Pelodiscus sinensis: one gene and its partner. The protein of the gene in region 2 binds, or shares a complex with, the protein of the main gene of each other region. Links are inferred from orthologs where the notes say so. Each region holds a gene or a part of one and is shown on either strand. Other genes may lie near its edges.

Evidence for each region.
Region 1: the proteins of BBS4 (region 2) and BBIP1 are in contact, whole or in part, in a cryo-EM structure (PDB 6VBV), measured with the Bos taurus proteins. The link is inferred for Pelodiscus sinensis from reciprocal best matches to the Homo sapiens genes BBS4 and BBIP1. Residues at the interface, in NP_001069424.1 of Bos taurus: Leu210, Leu213, Tyr236, Leu240, Ala241, Ser244, Gln247, Thr248, Ser269, Pro271, Asn274, Asn275, Met278, Phe281, Gly282, Lys284, Tyr298, Leu299, Pro301, Leu302, Asp303, Trp304, Lys305, Ile306, Tyr308, Asn309, Leu312, Leu315, Thr316, Gln318; in XP_003587939.1 of Bos taurus: Met7, Phe8, Arg9, Glu10, Val11, Leu12, Pro13, Lys14, Gln15, Gly16, Gln17, Leu18, Tyr19, Val20, Glu21, Asp22, Leu28, Lys30, Pro31.

The regions. Positions count from the first base shown.
Region 1 is NC_134718.1:66,893,912-66,902,080, reverse strand, and holds BBIP1 (BBSome-interacting protein 1), read right to left. Parts: upstream 3,079-8,169; 5' UTR 2,966-3,078; coding exon 2,920-2,965; intron 861-2,919; coding exon 691-860; 3' UTR 508-690; downstream 1-507.
Region 2 is NC_134724.1:37,826,627-37,834,209, forward strand, and holds the start of BBS4 (BBSome complex member BBS4), read left to right. Parts: upstream 1-4,382; 5' UTR 4,383-4,813; intron 4,814-4,850; exon of another isoform or gene 4,851-5,235; intron 5,236-5,251; exon of another isoform or gene 5,252-5,401; intron 5,402-7,583.

The DNA of each region.
Region 1 (8,169 bases), on a different chromosome or scaffold from region 2:
CAGCAGCCTGCTTTTCTAGCAAACCTTGTCCAGAGCCCCAGAACGATTTATATACCTGTTCAAGAGTAATGGAATGAGTAGCTGTATTGGTATTACCTATCCCAAATCTGTTAAAGAAACAAGGGTTATTACAAAAGCCCCAGCACTACTGATTAGAACAAAGACCTTGCCTGTTCAACAGGGACCACTGGAAATGGGGCAGGACAATCCAGGCAGGCAGATTGTGGGGGTTAGCCAGCAACAAGGGAACTGATTAGGGATTTTAACAAATACCCATTCCTCTTGTCAGAGTGTTTCCACCCACCCTAACATCTTGGTATGGCAGATGAGACCATCAGCAAAACATTAGAAGACCCCAGATCATTTTTTGTAAATGGCCTTTTAAAATGGGGATTTCCTTAGGAAGCGCTGGGGGGGGGGGGAGGAACCCACAATTACAGAGATTAAAAAAAAAGATAAGATGCAACTGCACAGAAAGGGGTAAGCATACTAACCAAAACACACATCTTCAGCAAAATCTATAGACATTTGTAATATGTAATATGTACAATAAAAGACACCAACTAAGAAAGCTTAGAAGGGACTTCTACCATTTCTGAACTCTTTTTTAGTAACTGTACAGCAAATCACTAGATTAAGATACAGTATTTAGGTAAAATATTTCTTAAAAGGGGTGAATCATTTTGCACTCTATTGCTGGCTTTGTTGCTGATGCTCCCTTTGTGCCATTTCTTGTTGGCGAACTGTTTCCTGTGCGTCTCGCTGCATTTTCTCTAGCTTTTCTAGGGTAACAGATTTTAAAGGCAACAATTTTGGCTTGCATAATACCATGGTAGCCACATCCTCTACTGACAGTTGCCCTGAAATGTAGAAAGAAAAAAAAAGAGTATGTAAATTTCATGTAATTGGCATCCATTTTACTACCAAGTACAAATACTTCTGAAATAAGAGCATCAAATGTCTTAGAAAGCCTAGATAATACTTAATTTTGAACAAGATAGTATTAGCTTTCAAAAAGAATATACTGTTCTTTTTGGGAAAAGGTTTGCAAAAACATGAGTCATTAACTTCAAAGAATTGGCCTGCTTTTCAGAAGCGGGCTCATAGTCTTTGAACCATAAGAAAAATTTTTTTTTTCAGGAAATGAAGAGTCACAAGGCCATGGTTTGGGACTCATATATATTCAGATCTATGCAAAAAAGACAGACTTTTTTTAGACTATCATTATTCCTTATATTTGTCTCCAAAAAAATCAAGTTAATGACTAGGATTCTCAGCTTTCCAACAGTAGCCAAGCATATTAGCAGATTACTTATATAACACCATGCCTTATTTTTTGGGGACAGCTTTCATTTCTTACATTTTTATCAGCACAGATGCTAGAACTCAGTGCTATAGGTTATCTGAAAGCAGCCCTGGAAGTAGTATTTTCTGTTAACTGTGCACTTTTGTGGCTGCTCAGGAGAAAATAAAATGCCACCCAGCTGATTAGTAGAATGCCCACAGCTAGATATTGTCTCTGTTGGGGGTGCACATGCCTGACTGCACAAATATATAGCACACATGGATGGAAAAACTCTGTACAGGATGGAAAAGATTAGAGGAAACACTATCTGCAATCCCAACTTTCAAACTTAATTTCTAGAACTAGTAATTTTAATGAGAAGTTGTCAAAACTGCTATATGCTTAAGATGTGGAGAAACTGGAGAACATCCAGAAGAGCAACAAGAAGGTCTAGAAAACATGATTTATGAGGGAAGACTGAAAGAATTGGATGAACTTAAAAAAACAACAAATGATCTGGTAGCACTTTATAGACTAACAAAACATGTAGATGGTATCATGAGCTTTCATGGGCATAGCCCATTTCTTCAGATGATGCGAGTTTTGAGTTTAGGTTGTGCAGACCCAAAATAAATAGGGGAGAAGATGGGGGGAAATGGAAGGGGGTGGGAAAAAGGAGCAGATGATATGAAAATTTCAAAGGTTTGTTTAGACTGGAAAAGAGGTAAGACTGAGAGGAACATGAGGCATTTTCAAGTACCTAAAAGTGTTACAAGTAGGAAAAAAACCTTGTCTTAATCTCTGATGATAGGATAAAAACCAATGGGCTTAAATTGCAGTAAAGGAGGTTTAGGTCAGACAGTAGGAAAACCTCCTAGCAGTCAGGGTGGTTAAGCACTGAAAAACTGTCTTAGGAGGGTGTAGCTGTCACTGGAGAGATTTAAGAGCAGATTAGACAGGATGGGCTAGATCAAGGCTGGGCAAGCAAGATGCTGCTTAACACTTTGATGTTGCCCCCATGGACCTTATCTGGTCACTTTCTCTTTATATTGTGCTGCCCATGCCATCAAGTTTCCAGAAGGTGACTCAGGTAGCAGGATCCTCGTTAAAAGGCTCCCAGCTGTGGTGCTACCCTGGCAGGGGAGCCCTTAAAATTGCTGCAGCAACCCTGGGCGGCTGCCCTGGGGCCAGGCGCTGTCAGCCCCTTTGCTAGGTTTTTAATTCAAAGCTCCAGATAAGGCTGGCGGGAGGCTACTCCCCAGTCGTGCCCCGGGGCCATGGCAAACGCCACGAAATGCCCCTCCCCCCCGAGAACCATTGCCAGCCCCTGAGCTAGCAGCGCGGGCCCCGGGACCTGACTGCTACTGAGCGGGGCAGCGCTGACGTCAGCGCGTGCAGCCCAGGCTCCGCGCGCCAAACGCCCCCAGCGCGAGAGGGCGGGGACCAGGCGCGCGGGACCTTCCTCGCGCTGGGAGCCGCCCCCCTCGCTGCGCGCCCGACTCCCCCTCCCCCAACCCGCCTGGGGCTGAGCGGGGTGCCCGGGCGGCAGCGCAGGCGGCGAGACCCCCCCCCCTCCCTCCCCCGCCCGCGGGCGGCCTGTGGGGGCGGCAGGGGCCCGAGCAGGGGGCGGTCACCTTGCTTGGGCAGCACCTCCCGGAGCGGGGACTTGCCCTCGGGCATAGCGGTGTCCGGGGCGCTGTCGGGTCAGGAGAAACCTGCCTGACTCCGTGCGCCTGCGCGGTCAGGCCGCTCCGCGGCCAATCACCGTTAGCTGACCCAGCAGCAGGGCGAGTAGACGCATGCGCAGTGCATACAATGCTTCAACGCAGGCGCAGTGTCCTTTCAATAACAATCGCTCCCACCATGCATTGCGCTGTCTTTTCCCGTGCGTCCCTGTCCTCACTGCGTGCGGAGAAGCGTGGTAGGGGACCCCACTGCATGCTGGGAATTGTAGTCCGCGGTTGGGGTAGCACACTGCATACTGGGGCTGGGAACTCTGGTGGCTTTACTACAGTGGGAAGGTTAGGGCTGCTGTATGCTAGGGGTGCAGTCCGTGGGGTCCTGGTGGAGGCAATGCCTTGGCACCCCACACCTCCATAATTCATAGTGCCTCAGTCTGCCCTGGTGTATTGCAAATTAAGCCTTGTCCTGGGCTGCTGGGGGGGTTGGGGGGGGCATCGACTTCCCAAACCCCTAGCCAGGCCCCACCCAGACTCTGCCCCTAGAACACCTAGGCTATGTCTACACTCGCGGCTTCTTACGCAAGAAGGAGCGTCTACACTGCCCCTTCTTGTGCAAGAAAAACCCTCTTGCGCAATGCCGTTCTTCCTGAAAAGTAATAGGTGTAACGGCATTGCACAAGAGGGTTTTTCTTGCGCAAGAAGGGGCAGTGTAGATGCTCCTCCTTGCACAAGAGCCTCTTCTGAAAAAAAATGGTGGCTCATTACGTATGCAAATGAGGCTCAGCAATATTCCACGCTTAGCATCATTTGCATATTACTCGCACAAGAAGCCGTGAGTGTAGACATAGCCCTACTGTACACATGGGGGCAGAGCCTGGGTAGGAGGGGTGGGGCTGGGCTGAGCAAGCCTAGCCCTACCTTCACCCACTGCCCATGGTTGCCGGCATGCGGCCCTCAGGCTGAACATGATTAGCGACCTGGTGCATGCTCTGGTCAGGGGCAGATGACCGTTTTGCAGGGCCCTGGGCAGCATAATTCCGCGGGGGCCCCCCTTTGCCACGGCGCATGCGCGGGGCTTTTTGAAGCGCGGGGCTCGGGGCGGCCGCCCCGTTCACCCTGCCCTATATCCGCCCCTGGCTCTGGTATCTGACTTGCCTTTGTTTTCAGTCTCTCTATCTTGGGGGCCAGCTACTCTAGACTCTGCTGTATGGGTTTTCTCCTTTCAGAACGACAAACAAGCCACCACCTCTGTCCTGGAGGCACAGGTGAAAGTAAACAGATGCACCCAGGTGTGTAGCTCTGGCAAGAGCTGGGTGAGCTGCAGCAAAAGCCAGCAGGAAGCTATTAAAAGGTACCCGGGTTGCAATAGGACAGGATCTATAAGCGGTTTTAATGTATTTTCAATGCTGCCTGGATGGCTTCTGCCCAAGAGCTCTCTCCCCTCAACCTGCTCCTGGGTCTGTTGTAGTTTGAGCTGGTTGAAGGCCCAGCACATAAGGGGACCCAGGCTCTGGCCATGCCCCTTCAGTGTGATGTGTGTGGTAGTTAAAGATCGATGCACAGCTGCGTGTGTTTGTATTTTACAGGGGATGTTGGTCCCAGGTAGGGATGTAAAGGTTAACTGGTTACCCAGTAAGCATCGCTGGTGCTGGGCAGCTTTTCACCGGGTAACTGGTTAACTGGCAGCCCAGCCAGGCTGAAGCAGACCTCTGCTGAATGCGGGAAGGAGGCTGTTCTAGCCTGGCCAGGACCACCGTGCTGCGGGCAGAGGCGCTCCAGCCTGCTTGGGCCCACTGGGATGTGCGGGGCCGGGCTGAAAGCAGCCCCCCACCCATGGCATGGTGGGACCCCAGCAAGCTGGAGCAGCTCTGCTGCCCACAGAGGCCTGGTCTGGAGACCTTGGTTAACCAATTAAAGTTATATCGTGTAATCAGTTAACATTTTTAAGGGGTATTTACATCCCTAGTCCCATGTGGAAACAAGCCCAGCGCATTATAGCTTTTCACCAGGAACCATCACAGCACTACAAAATCTGTCCTGATGGGTTAAAAACCAGCCAGATTTCCCATTTGACATGCGTGCAGGATGTTCTGGAAAAGGGCTGGAGGGAATAGCCCTTTGCCTTTAGCTCTAAGTCCAGCCTAGGTTGGAGGCTATAAGAAGTTATCACTTGACAGCTTGTTAAATGATATATTTGCAAAAGGATTTGCTGAACCTCTGTCTGATTTCACAGCACAGAAGCTGCCCAGCAGCCATATCCTGAATTGTGCCTTTGTTGTCAGCCTCAGAAAACTGAATGAGCCAGGGAACTTGAACCTGACAGGGGTAAATTAGAGCTAAATAACAGCACAGAACACTGAGAGCCAGGGCTGGTGACTGTAAACAAACTTTATGGGACTGTGGGAAACGTGGCCACACCCATGATAAGCAGACATCCAGCCAAATAAAATCATGTCAGACCATGGATAGTGCTGGATTAGAGAGGTTCAACCTGTATCAAGAGAATTGCCCATTAGTGGTTTCTCAGGATTTCAAATTCTGATTAGTGTGATCAAATCTGATGTCCTACAATTTGCAGTATGAGTGGTGCCACTGTTTAAAATGTAGTCAAAGGCTAGGGGCATTTTTAAATGCTAAAAGACAAATGCAGCAAAACCAGATTTGCCAGCATTCCCCGCATCACTCTCACATACATGCAGAACCTGTTTGTTAGACAATTCTTTACCATTAGTAGTAACTTTCAGTGAAGAGCTCTAGGAAGAACTGGAAGTCCCCAGCTTACGATCAGGTTATGTTCCAAAAGTTTGTTTGTAAGCCGGTTCTTTGGAACCCGGAACACATTTTCCCATAGAAACAATGTTATAAATGGTAGCTAGGTTCCCTGACTAGCCCACAAAACCCTATTAAACCCATAATATAGCTGAAATACTGTATATTTGCAATGAAAAATATCAGAAATATTTTTTTATTTAACCTTGAATGTTGGTGTGCTTGCAGAAAGGCAGGTTTCATTAAATAAGGATGAGAAGATAGGTGGAGATTCTAAAGGGGACTTCTGGCCATTCCCCAGCTGCCATTTCTCCTCCCCACTGCAGGCTCTGCAGTGCCTCCCTGGGGCTGCATCCAGCCTTCACTCAACAAGGGGACTTAGGAGGAGCAGGGGGCAGCCATGCAGCCAGCGGCTAGTGAGAAGTAGCGGTTTCCCCTTAACAATGCTGCTTCTCTCCATCCTGTGGCTGTATGACCACTTCCCTGCTCCTCCGGAGTACGACGGCCCGCACCCGTGCCGCTTGTTGCCACCTCTTGCCTGCTCCCCTGTGGCTGCAGGAGAGCAATTGTTTGTATGTGTGGATGTTTGTAAGTTGGATGTATGTAATTCAGGGCGTGCCTGTCATGCACTAACACACAAGTCAGTAAATGCTGCATCAGCTTCCTGGCTCTGAACGTATATGGTATCCAAATACTAATTCAATTCCAAGCTGAAATGTAATTTTAGGTTTTGCTAATGATATTGTTTGTGTGGCCTGTACAAGCTGCCCTTTACTGCAGCAATTTGAAGAAGGAAAAGCACACATGTAAGAACAGATAACATTTGTAAACCTGCTAACCGCACACTCTGCTGCTATGTCTAAACTGGCAAGTTTTTCCGCAAAAGCACCTGCTTTTGCGGAAAAACTTACCAGCTGTCTACACTGGCCACTTGAATTTGTGCAAGAGCACTGACTTTGTAATGTACAAAATCAGTGCTTCTTGCGCAAATACTTACATGCTCCCGCTCAGGGAAAAGCCCTCTTGCACAAGAATACTTGCGCAAGAGGGCCAGTGTAGACAGGCACCTTAATTTTTTGTGCAAGAAAGCCCGATGGCTAAAATGACCATTGGAGCTTTCTTGAGCAAAAGCGCGTCTGGATTGGCATGGATGCTTTTGCGCAAAAGCACTTTTTGTGCAAAAGCATCCGAGCCAATCTAGACGCTCTTTTGCGGAAATACTTTTAACAGACAAACTTTTCTGTTAAAAGTATTTCCGCAAAATCATGCCAGACTTGACGCAGCCAGCTAGTATTAGTGACCCCTCTAGATGAAGTGAGATACTGCAGATTCTGGTAATGTTCCCCAAATTGATATTAGCTGGGGGAAAAAAGCTCATTAAATTTATACCCAACGGTAAGAGGATCAATGATCAAAAGAGAATGAGGAAATAATTGTTTCCCTAATAAGTTTTCTTTCTGGTTTTGATTTCACTTGGGCATGTTTCCCTGTGCTCACTTGAATGCTAGGCAGCAGGCCCATTGGATGGTCTAAAGTAGGGGTGGGCAAAGGAGCCTCCGCAGGCCAGATCTGGCCCGCCAAGCAGGTGAATCCAGCCCATGAAGGCCCTGCTGATCCCCCTTCCCCCTCCCCCAGGCCTCATTTCACGAGGCATACTGGAGTGGTCGACAAAGGCGTCCCTTGTCGACCGCAGCACATCCAGACTGCCCCGCTGTGCCGCCAAACAGCTGATCGGTACAGCGCGGTGGCCATTTTGATGTAAATGAAATGGCGATTATTTAAATCGCCGCTTCATTTTCCTATGTCTAGTAAACTCATCTACATGGCTTTGTCGATGGACCATGTAGTCTAGACATATCCTGAAAATCTATCTGACACTAATTTGTTAAAATGGTAAATGGCCCAGTCAGAAATAAACCAGAATATCTTTTTAATCAGCATCCTTGTACTATTCCCCTTTATTTGGCACTGGTGGGGCCACATCTGGAGTATTGTATTCGATTCTGAGCCCCCCACTATAGAAAGGATGTGGACGCATTAGAGTGGGTCCAGCAGGGGGCAACCACAATGATTAGGGGGCTGGAGCACATGACCTACGAGGGGAGGCTGAGTGATATAAACATAAGAACATAAGCACGGCCGTACTGGGTCAGACCAAAGGTCCATCTAACCCAGTATCCTGTCTGCCGACAGTGGCCAGCACCAGGTGCCCCAGAGAGGGTGGACCGAAGACAATGATCAAGCGATTTGTCTCCTGCCATCCCTCTCCAGCCTCTGACAAACAGAGGCCAAGGACACCACTTTATCCCCTGGCTAATAGCCTTTTATGGACCTAACTTCCATGAATTTATCCAGCTTCTCTTTAAACTCTATTATAGTCCTAGCCTTCACAGCCTCCTCTGGCAAGGAGTTCCACAGGTTGACAACACGCTG
Region 2 (7,583 bases):
AAGAGGACAACAGTATTTTTCAAAATTGTATATAGCGCATATGCATGGACAAAGAGCAAGCGTGGCACGTGTTTGCATAATGTTTAATTACAAAAAATATTTATTCTTTAAAAATCTTCAAGATTATGTCTATTTGCTGTGCATTTTCTTTGGGTTTGCTTTTTTTAGCCCGGGGATTGGGGTGGGGGAAGTGTGTGCTGGTGCAGTGACTCTTTTGAAGGCTTTTACGTGAGAAGTCAAGTTTCTCCTCTTCCTGCATCGTTGATTCCCTGGCCTCCATGGTTTGTGTCCATTGCTGGCAACGGAACTGTCCCCTCCTAAGGCAAACCGATTAACTTGGTGTGCGTTTCATTAGAGACGAATGCATGTTGCCATTCAGGATGCTTTGTCTTTTTCACCCAGAATGTTATCTGCCCAAATCAAACCTAGCTATTCCCATGCCACCAGGACCTGGGCTCTGAACCTGGCTAAGAATCAAACCTATAAGAAGTGTGTTAGGAATTTTTCGTTTGATGGAGGAAAAGGGGGGTACTCGCTGACCACTTCTCAAAGAGCATTGAAAGAGTTTAACTGTGGATCTCCTCCCCTTTCCCGTTTGGTATCAAATGGAACATTCCTTGCTGGTTTGAGTTTCACTTACGTTATTACAAATGGTGACGTTAAAAAGGAAGATGGTGGAATTGTCTGTTTGTTTTGGGCTCAGTTATTGGGCAAACTATCCTGGCAAATATTAAACACTCCATCTAGTGCAGTAGCAATTGAAATCATTGGGATATTTTTTCAATTAAAAGGGTTAAGAGTTCTAGCTACTGCGTCCATTTTTATTATTTCTGTAACAAGAGCTATGTTGAAGTACACAATTGGTGGTGGTTTTATTAAATTGACTTCTGTATAGGAATCCCTTCTGTGGTATTTTTCACCAGGCCATTGTCCTTAAAAGCTTGCTGACAACCTACCAAGTTCAGGGGGCAGGAATAAAGGGGGAGCTGAGGCAGTCTAGAGAGAGGTTCCCAATATGAAACACCAGTCTGTCATTTCCTTCAGCTCTCTTGCGCCTCTTGAAGATGCTGCTGAATTCAGACATCTACAGGTTAGCTTTGCGCTCCCACTCTTGCTGTGCGTCACCTTTCCCAACGGCTTGTTTGCCTCAAGCCCTCATGCAGGACTGCCGTGAAGCAGAATGAACGCATGCACCCCACTCACCAACTTGTGTCCTGTGCACATCTCTTTAGACAGCTGCTGTGGGGGGAATTAATGTGAGGGTGTGTCTGTCTGAAGAACTCTGTTCTAATAGCCTGGGCGCCCCACAACAGAGACATCACCAAAGAACATCAGGCCTCACTTCTCATTTAAAGAGTCCTATCATTGCAGCACTCTAGCTCTTGAAAATATATTCCCTTAAATGTAAATGTGAATCAAAATGCTTCCTAAAATGGCATCTCTGCCTGGAGCTAGCAGTGATGTGTGGGTGGGAGTCCCCTGAAGTGTTCCACAGTTAGCTGTTTAAATGTCCAGTGGTTCCCTCCCCTGAGAACTGAAACCCAATGTACATGCAATTTCAGCTCCTAACATGAAGGGACATATTGTGTTTTTAAATCGTGAGCTGTATAGACCTTATCAACTGATTAAAACTGCCATCTCCCATGTTGTGTTTAAGTTGTGCATGGGCCACCTGTCTCTGATTATTTACTTGCTGACTCTTTATCCCAGCTCTTGTACTCTAATTCTCCATACTTATTGAGAATTATCCTTTTCAGTAGTGCCAGCTGCAGAATCTCTTGCTGAGTGTGAGACTGTTTGATCATTCACGTAAGTTGGCAGGCCCTTCCCTTAAGGGCAAATATTTGTGGTTAGGAGGTATGGACTGGCTGTTTGATAGCAATATGCAAAATACTGAATGGGCCTCAGTAACTTGCTCTGGGGCTAACTCTGTGACAAGGCCCCACCAATAGAAGGCAAATCCGAACAGCTTGTCTTCAGAACCCTACAGTCCCTGTAGCTCACTGTGGCTCTGGTGATATAGGGATCAATGACTGCCTGGTGTTTAGCTCCTTTTAGTATGACCACAGTATTGAAGTTAAGAGTGAAGTAAATCCTCAGCCACAAAACACACACATGCTCTATCCTCAGCTTTTGGCTGACGGGGCCCTATTCAGCACTTGGGGGATGGTATGACAATCAGACTGGCGGGTTGATGGATCCATGACTCCTACCTTCCAATTTTCCATCCGGAGAGCACCTCGTACTGTGGAAATAATTGTTCTTAGGTAATTTCATTGTAACTGCTGGAATGTTGCCATGTTAAGGTTAGAGGGAGAGAAAGCATTCCTAATGCTAATAAACATTTATTTTGTTAATTTTATTAGTTATTTTTGTGTTTGTCATAAATTGCTAAGGTATGTTGATTGGTGGTTTGATTAGGAGGATCTGTTCATAGCTTGTCTGTCTAAAATAGTGACCATGACATCACAGGACGTATAGGTCTGGATTTTTCTTAGTGGCCACTTGGATTCTGATGTCAGTCTCATGGCCGAGTGGTCAGGATGATAGTTTCTTAATGTCCATATGTTATAAATGAGCTGCCAAGCCCTCCCGGTGAGAGAGGTGGTGACTGCTCGTAAAAGCCGTAGTACCAGTCTCTTCTTGAAATGTGTGCATAGGGAAAGAGGAATGTGTATGTCAGAGTGGGGTAGCTTCCTCCACTAACTACCCAGTCATTATAGAAATGAGCCTTTATAGGTTCCAGCAGTCCATGAGCAGAGGCAAAGCTTGGAGCTGATTAGCCCTTCTGATGACTGTCTGCAACCAGATGTCAAAAGGCATCCAAAGAGCCAAGGAATTTATGCTACAGATTTCAAGAATAATACTGTTTTGGCTCTCCATCCAAAGCTGCAGTTCTTGTATTTACACAAAAACGCCACGGTCTGGGTATCTTCCTCCCTTCTTATGGACTGATACTCTGATTCTTCAGTTGTAGCTACTTTACTTGGCATGGGGAAAGAATAGTACAATGACTTGTGAGTTTGAAAGAAGACATACAGTTAGATAAGGGAATGAGATTACAGGTGCTTAAAGTAATAACAGCTTTGGGGCAGGATCAAATAAAAAACCCTTTCATCCTAAATATTTTAAATGGGGGGAGGGGGGAGAACTGAATATTCAATGTCATCGCTTAGGAGTCTTAAGTTCTCATTGCCCTAGTTTGTTGAAAACAGTGTCAAGTTCCCTGTATGTGTTTGTGAAATACTGTTTATTTAAAAGTCCCACTTTCTGTAAACTCCAAAGTATGAGAGCAGTGAACTCACTTCTTCCATGCCATCACCTCTCCTCTCTCTCAGCAAATCGTAAGTATACTGAAGCTGTTTAAACATGCTTGCTGGGATCATTTAACTTTTAACACTGCCACAAGAGCCACCCTGACCCCACTCTCCACAGGATTTTGATTTTAATCACGTTTATTTTTATCTCTGTCCAAGTCTTGCTAGTAAAGGCACATTTGAAAAAGTGACAAGCACATTTTTAATGGTCTAGTTTAATACTTAATTTCAGCTACTCTTTCTTCCTAATTGAGCCTGGGTCCTCAAAGGGATTTAACTGAGCATGCTCAGCACTTAAGTACCTAACCGGCTCTGGCCCTTAGTGTCAACCTTTTTAAGGGCAAGCCCAGATCTAGCTCAAATATAAATAACCTTGCTCTGCTCCCCCTGCTCCTTTTCCTCAGGCTGGGGCAGAGGGTTGGGGTGTTGGATTAAGGAATGCCGAGTGCGAAGGGCTCGGGGCTGCTCTTGGGCCAGGGCGCGGGGCTGCCGAGGGGTTCCGGCAGGGTGTGGGGTGCAGGAGGTGGTCCGTGACTGGGGTAGGAGTGTGGGAGGCGGCTTCAGCTGGCTCGTGCTGACCGCGGGGTTCGTGGGGGTGGTGCAGTGGGGCCTCTGGCGCATTCCCATAAGCAACCGGCACGCTCCAGCCCAGTCCTGTTATATCTCCGCGCCCAGCCCAGCCAGCAGGAGGCTCCCAGGGGCAGAGACGAGCAGCGGGGGGAGGGGCTGTTGAAGTGACAGACTCTTACTCGTCTCCTTCCTCCCTTTCTCCCCTCCCCCCCCCGTGGGGCCAGACCCGGGGCGGGGGAGCCCACCCCCCGGGACGGGCCTGTGCCTCGGGCTAGCTGCGGGGAGGGGGCAGCCTCCGCGGACAACCGGAGTGGCGCTGCTACGAGCGGTTTGAAACCCAGCCCTCGAGCAGGCGGGGGGGGGGGGGCGGCTGCTGCCGTTGCCATGACAATGCCTCCGCGGCTCCGCCTCCCAAGGGGCGTGTCTGTGCGGCGGCTCCTAACGCCTGGACCAAGCGCGGCCGGCTCCGCCCTGGGCAGCTTGCATGGGGGGAGGGGGGCAGTATGAGCGGGTCGGGGTCTACTGTGACGTCACAGTCCCGCGCTTCCGCAGCCCCCTCCCTCTGCTGGCCGTCGCGCTCAGGGTACGTCACGCGCCCCGGGCTGGCCTGGGCCCATTGACGTCACCGAGTCCCTAGAGCCTGGGAGGTGGGGGGCTCCGCGTCGCTCCGCGCGCTCCTAGGCAGCCGGACCTAGTAGGGGACGTTGCTATGGCAACCAGCCGTCGGGCTTCGCGATTGGCTGGACACAGCCAGAAGGCCCCCGGCCGGCATCGCCCCTAGACGTCAGTGCGAGGCTCTTTCCGGCGGGCGCGGTGGTTGTCGGTCCTATGGCCCGCCCCTCTCTATGGGTCCGCTCAGCTGGTAACCAGGGAAACGGACAACTTCCGACGCCGAGCAGGCCTGTGGCGGAGCGCTGGCGGAGCCGGTGAGAGGGGGCGGGGCTGGGGATACCGCGCCAGACCCCGCCCGCGCGGCCTCGTTGCGAGTTCAGTATCTGGGGGGGGGGGCAGTGAGGGGCCCTCCCCAGGGGTGGGGGTCGCTCTGGTGGGCCCGGGCGGTGCCGCCTAGTGCTGCTGCCTGAGCCCTGCACGGGCGCTGGCGCCGCCCCCCGCCCCGAGATCCGTGCCCAGCCCCCCGGAAACGGCCCCGGCGGCAGCTGGGATCTCGGTGTCGCTCCACTCGGAGTTGGGTGCGAGGCTGGGGGCGCGGAACGCGAGCTCCTGGGCCTGGGGCGTGGCGGCGGGAGAACGCCGCCCGAAGACGCGCTCCGCACGTGGTGGGTCGGATCCCTGGCAGCGGGAAACACGGTTCAAGGGACTCGCGCGTGTTTCAGAGACGCTATTCAAGGTACAAGAGCAACTGTCCCACGGCCCAGGGGAGATGAGAAGGTTGAGAGGAGAGCGCCCTGGTTTAACTAGGAGAGCTGGGATGAGCTATACCTCTACAAGGACCCCACAAAAAGAGGAAACTAGCTTACCTTACAAAGAAGGAATCTAACCCCTCCCCCCCACAGGTATGTAGGGACAAAATTAGATAGGCCAAGGCTCAAAATGAGTTCAGATTAACTAGAGCATGGGTTCCCAAACTGGGTGTGTGTGCCCCCCTGGGGGGAGGCTTAAGAAATTCTGGGGGTGGGGGGTGCACAAGGTGACCCAGCCCACCTGTCAATGCCCCCATTGCCCCCCAAATTTCAATTTTTTTTTTGCTCAACAAGATTTGCTGCTATTTTGGGGGGGGGGGAGTGAGGGTTTCTCAAAAATCAAAAAGGGGGTGTGATGCCAAAAATTTTGGGAACCACTGAATTAGAGGAAGTCTATGCAGCAATGAGAAGACAGCAGCAATGACAGTGGCCAAAGCACTGGTTAGCACACTGTGCACAGTGCTGAAGGGCTGGCCAATGGGAGGCCGTGCCCCTTCTTGGAGCTGGCCCCCCCACACCTTGCCTAGGGACCCAACAATTCTGTAGCCCTCTTCTCATCCCCAGCTAGAGACATAAAGAATAACAAGAAAACATTCATTCTACAAATATGTTAGAAGCAAGAGGAAGACCAAAGACAGGGTAGTGAATCAATGAAAGGGGAAAATAGTAACCATAAATGTGCAAATGGCAGAGGTGCTTAATGACATCTTTGTTTCACTTTTCACCAAGAAAGTTGGTGGCTGTTGGATACCTAACGTAATGAATGCTGGTGAAAATGAGAAGGTTCAGAAGTTAAAATAGATTCAGATTAATAATTGTTTAGTCAAGTTAAATGTCTTCAGGTCACCAGGGCCTGCTGAAATGTACCCTAAAATTCTCAGTGAGCTGACTGAGAAGTTATCTGGGTCTATTAGTTTGCTTTATAACTGACTGCACTGCATTCTCAGGCTGGGCTCTGACAGTCAAACTGGTCTTATTCTGGTTCACACAGTTTCAAAGAGGCAAAATGTCATCCTTGGGTGTTTTAACAGGAGTGTTGTATGTACAATGCAGGAGGAAATTGTTCCAGCGGACATGGCATCGTTGAAGAGTATTGTGTCCAGTTTTGGACACTGGTCTTTAAGAATGCTGTGAGCGTCCAGGGGAGAGCTTACCTACATGATTAGAGGTTTAGAAAAATTGACCTATGAGGAAAGGTTGACAGAATTGAGCATATTTAGTCTACAAAAGAGAAGGCTGAGGAAGGACATAACAATCTTCAACTATGTAAAAGATTGTTTGCAGAAACCATGATCAGATGTTTTCCATATCCACTGAGGGTAGGACAAGAAGTAATCAGCTTAGTTTGCAACAAAGGAGATTAAGGTTCGGTATTAGGAGAAACTTTCTAGCTATAAGTGGAAATAAGGACTGGAACAGGTCATGTAGGGTGGTTGTAGATTCCTCGTCACTGGAGGTTTTCAAGAATGAGTTAGATAAACAGCTGTCAGGGATGGGTCTAGGATTACGTTATCCTGCCTCAGTTCAGAGGGCTGCACTAGATGGCTTCTTGAGATCCTTTCCAGCCCTAAATTTCTGTGATGATAAGTCACTTAATAATTCTGATAATGATGAGTGATATAGAACAGAATCCAGTTTGCTCACTCAGGGCGGTCAGGCTAATACAAATAAAATGCAGTCACTAGAATGAGCAGGTTCTGAATACCCCCAAGGGATATTGGTGGAGAAAGATACTGGTCGCTAGAGTAGTACTTTGCTGTAACAGTGGGTTTGTAAGGAGAGCATCTGACCCCTGCTTCCTTTCAGAAATAGAGTGAACCACTGGTGTCAAATGTTATGAACATTTTGGTACCCCCAGCTGCGGAGTTTGGCAAGTAACAGCTCTCAGTGAATTCATCCCAAGATCAATTTGTTTTCAGATGAAAATCAATTTAATTTTGACAGACAAATTGTTTAATTGCTGCATTTCAGCTTGGCATGGCACATCTGGTAAAAGGATTATGCCCTGAAAGCCTGTGTGTGACCTACTTTTATTTAAATCACTTGAGCATGGTGTTAAGAATTTTTCAGTTTGGCATTAGGCTGAAACTATTGACAGTTTGATCTGTGAAAAGTATAATGTAAAATCTTATCACAAAGCAGCATCCTTCTTCAAAGTTTAAATATTGCTTCACTCCTTGTGCTAGATCTGTGGTCCCAGATGTGTGTACTGGGTTAAAAACAACACTGCAGTTTTTGTGGACAGTAATACAAGTTGCACCTCCCCAAAACAGCA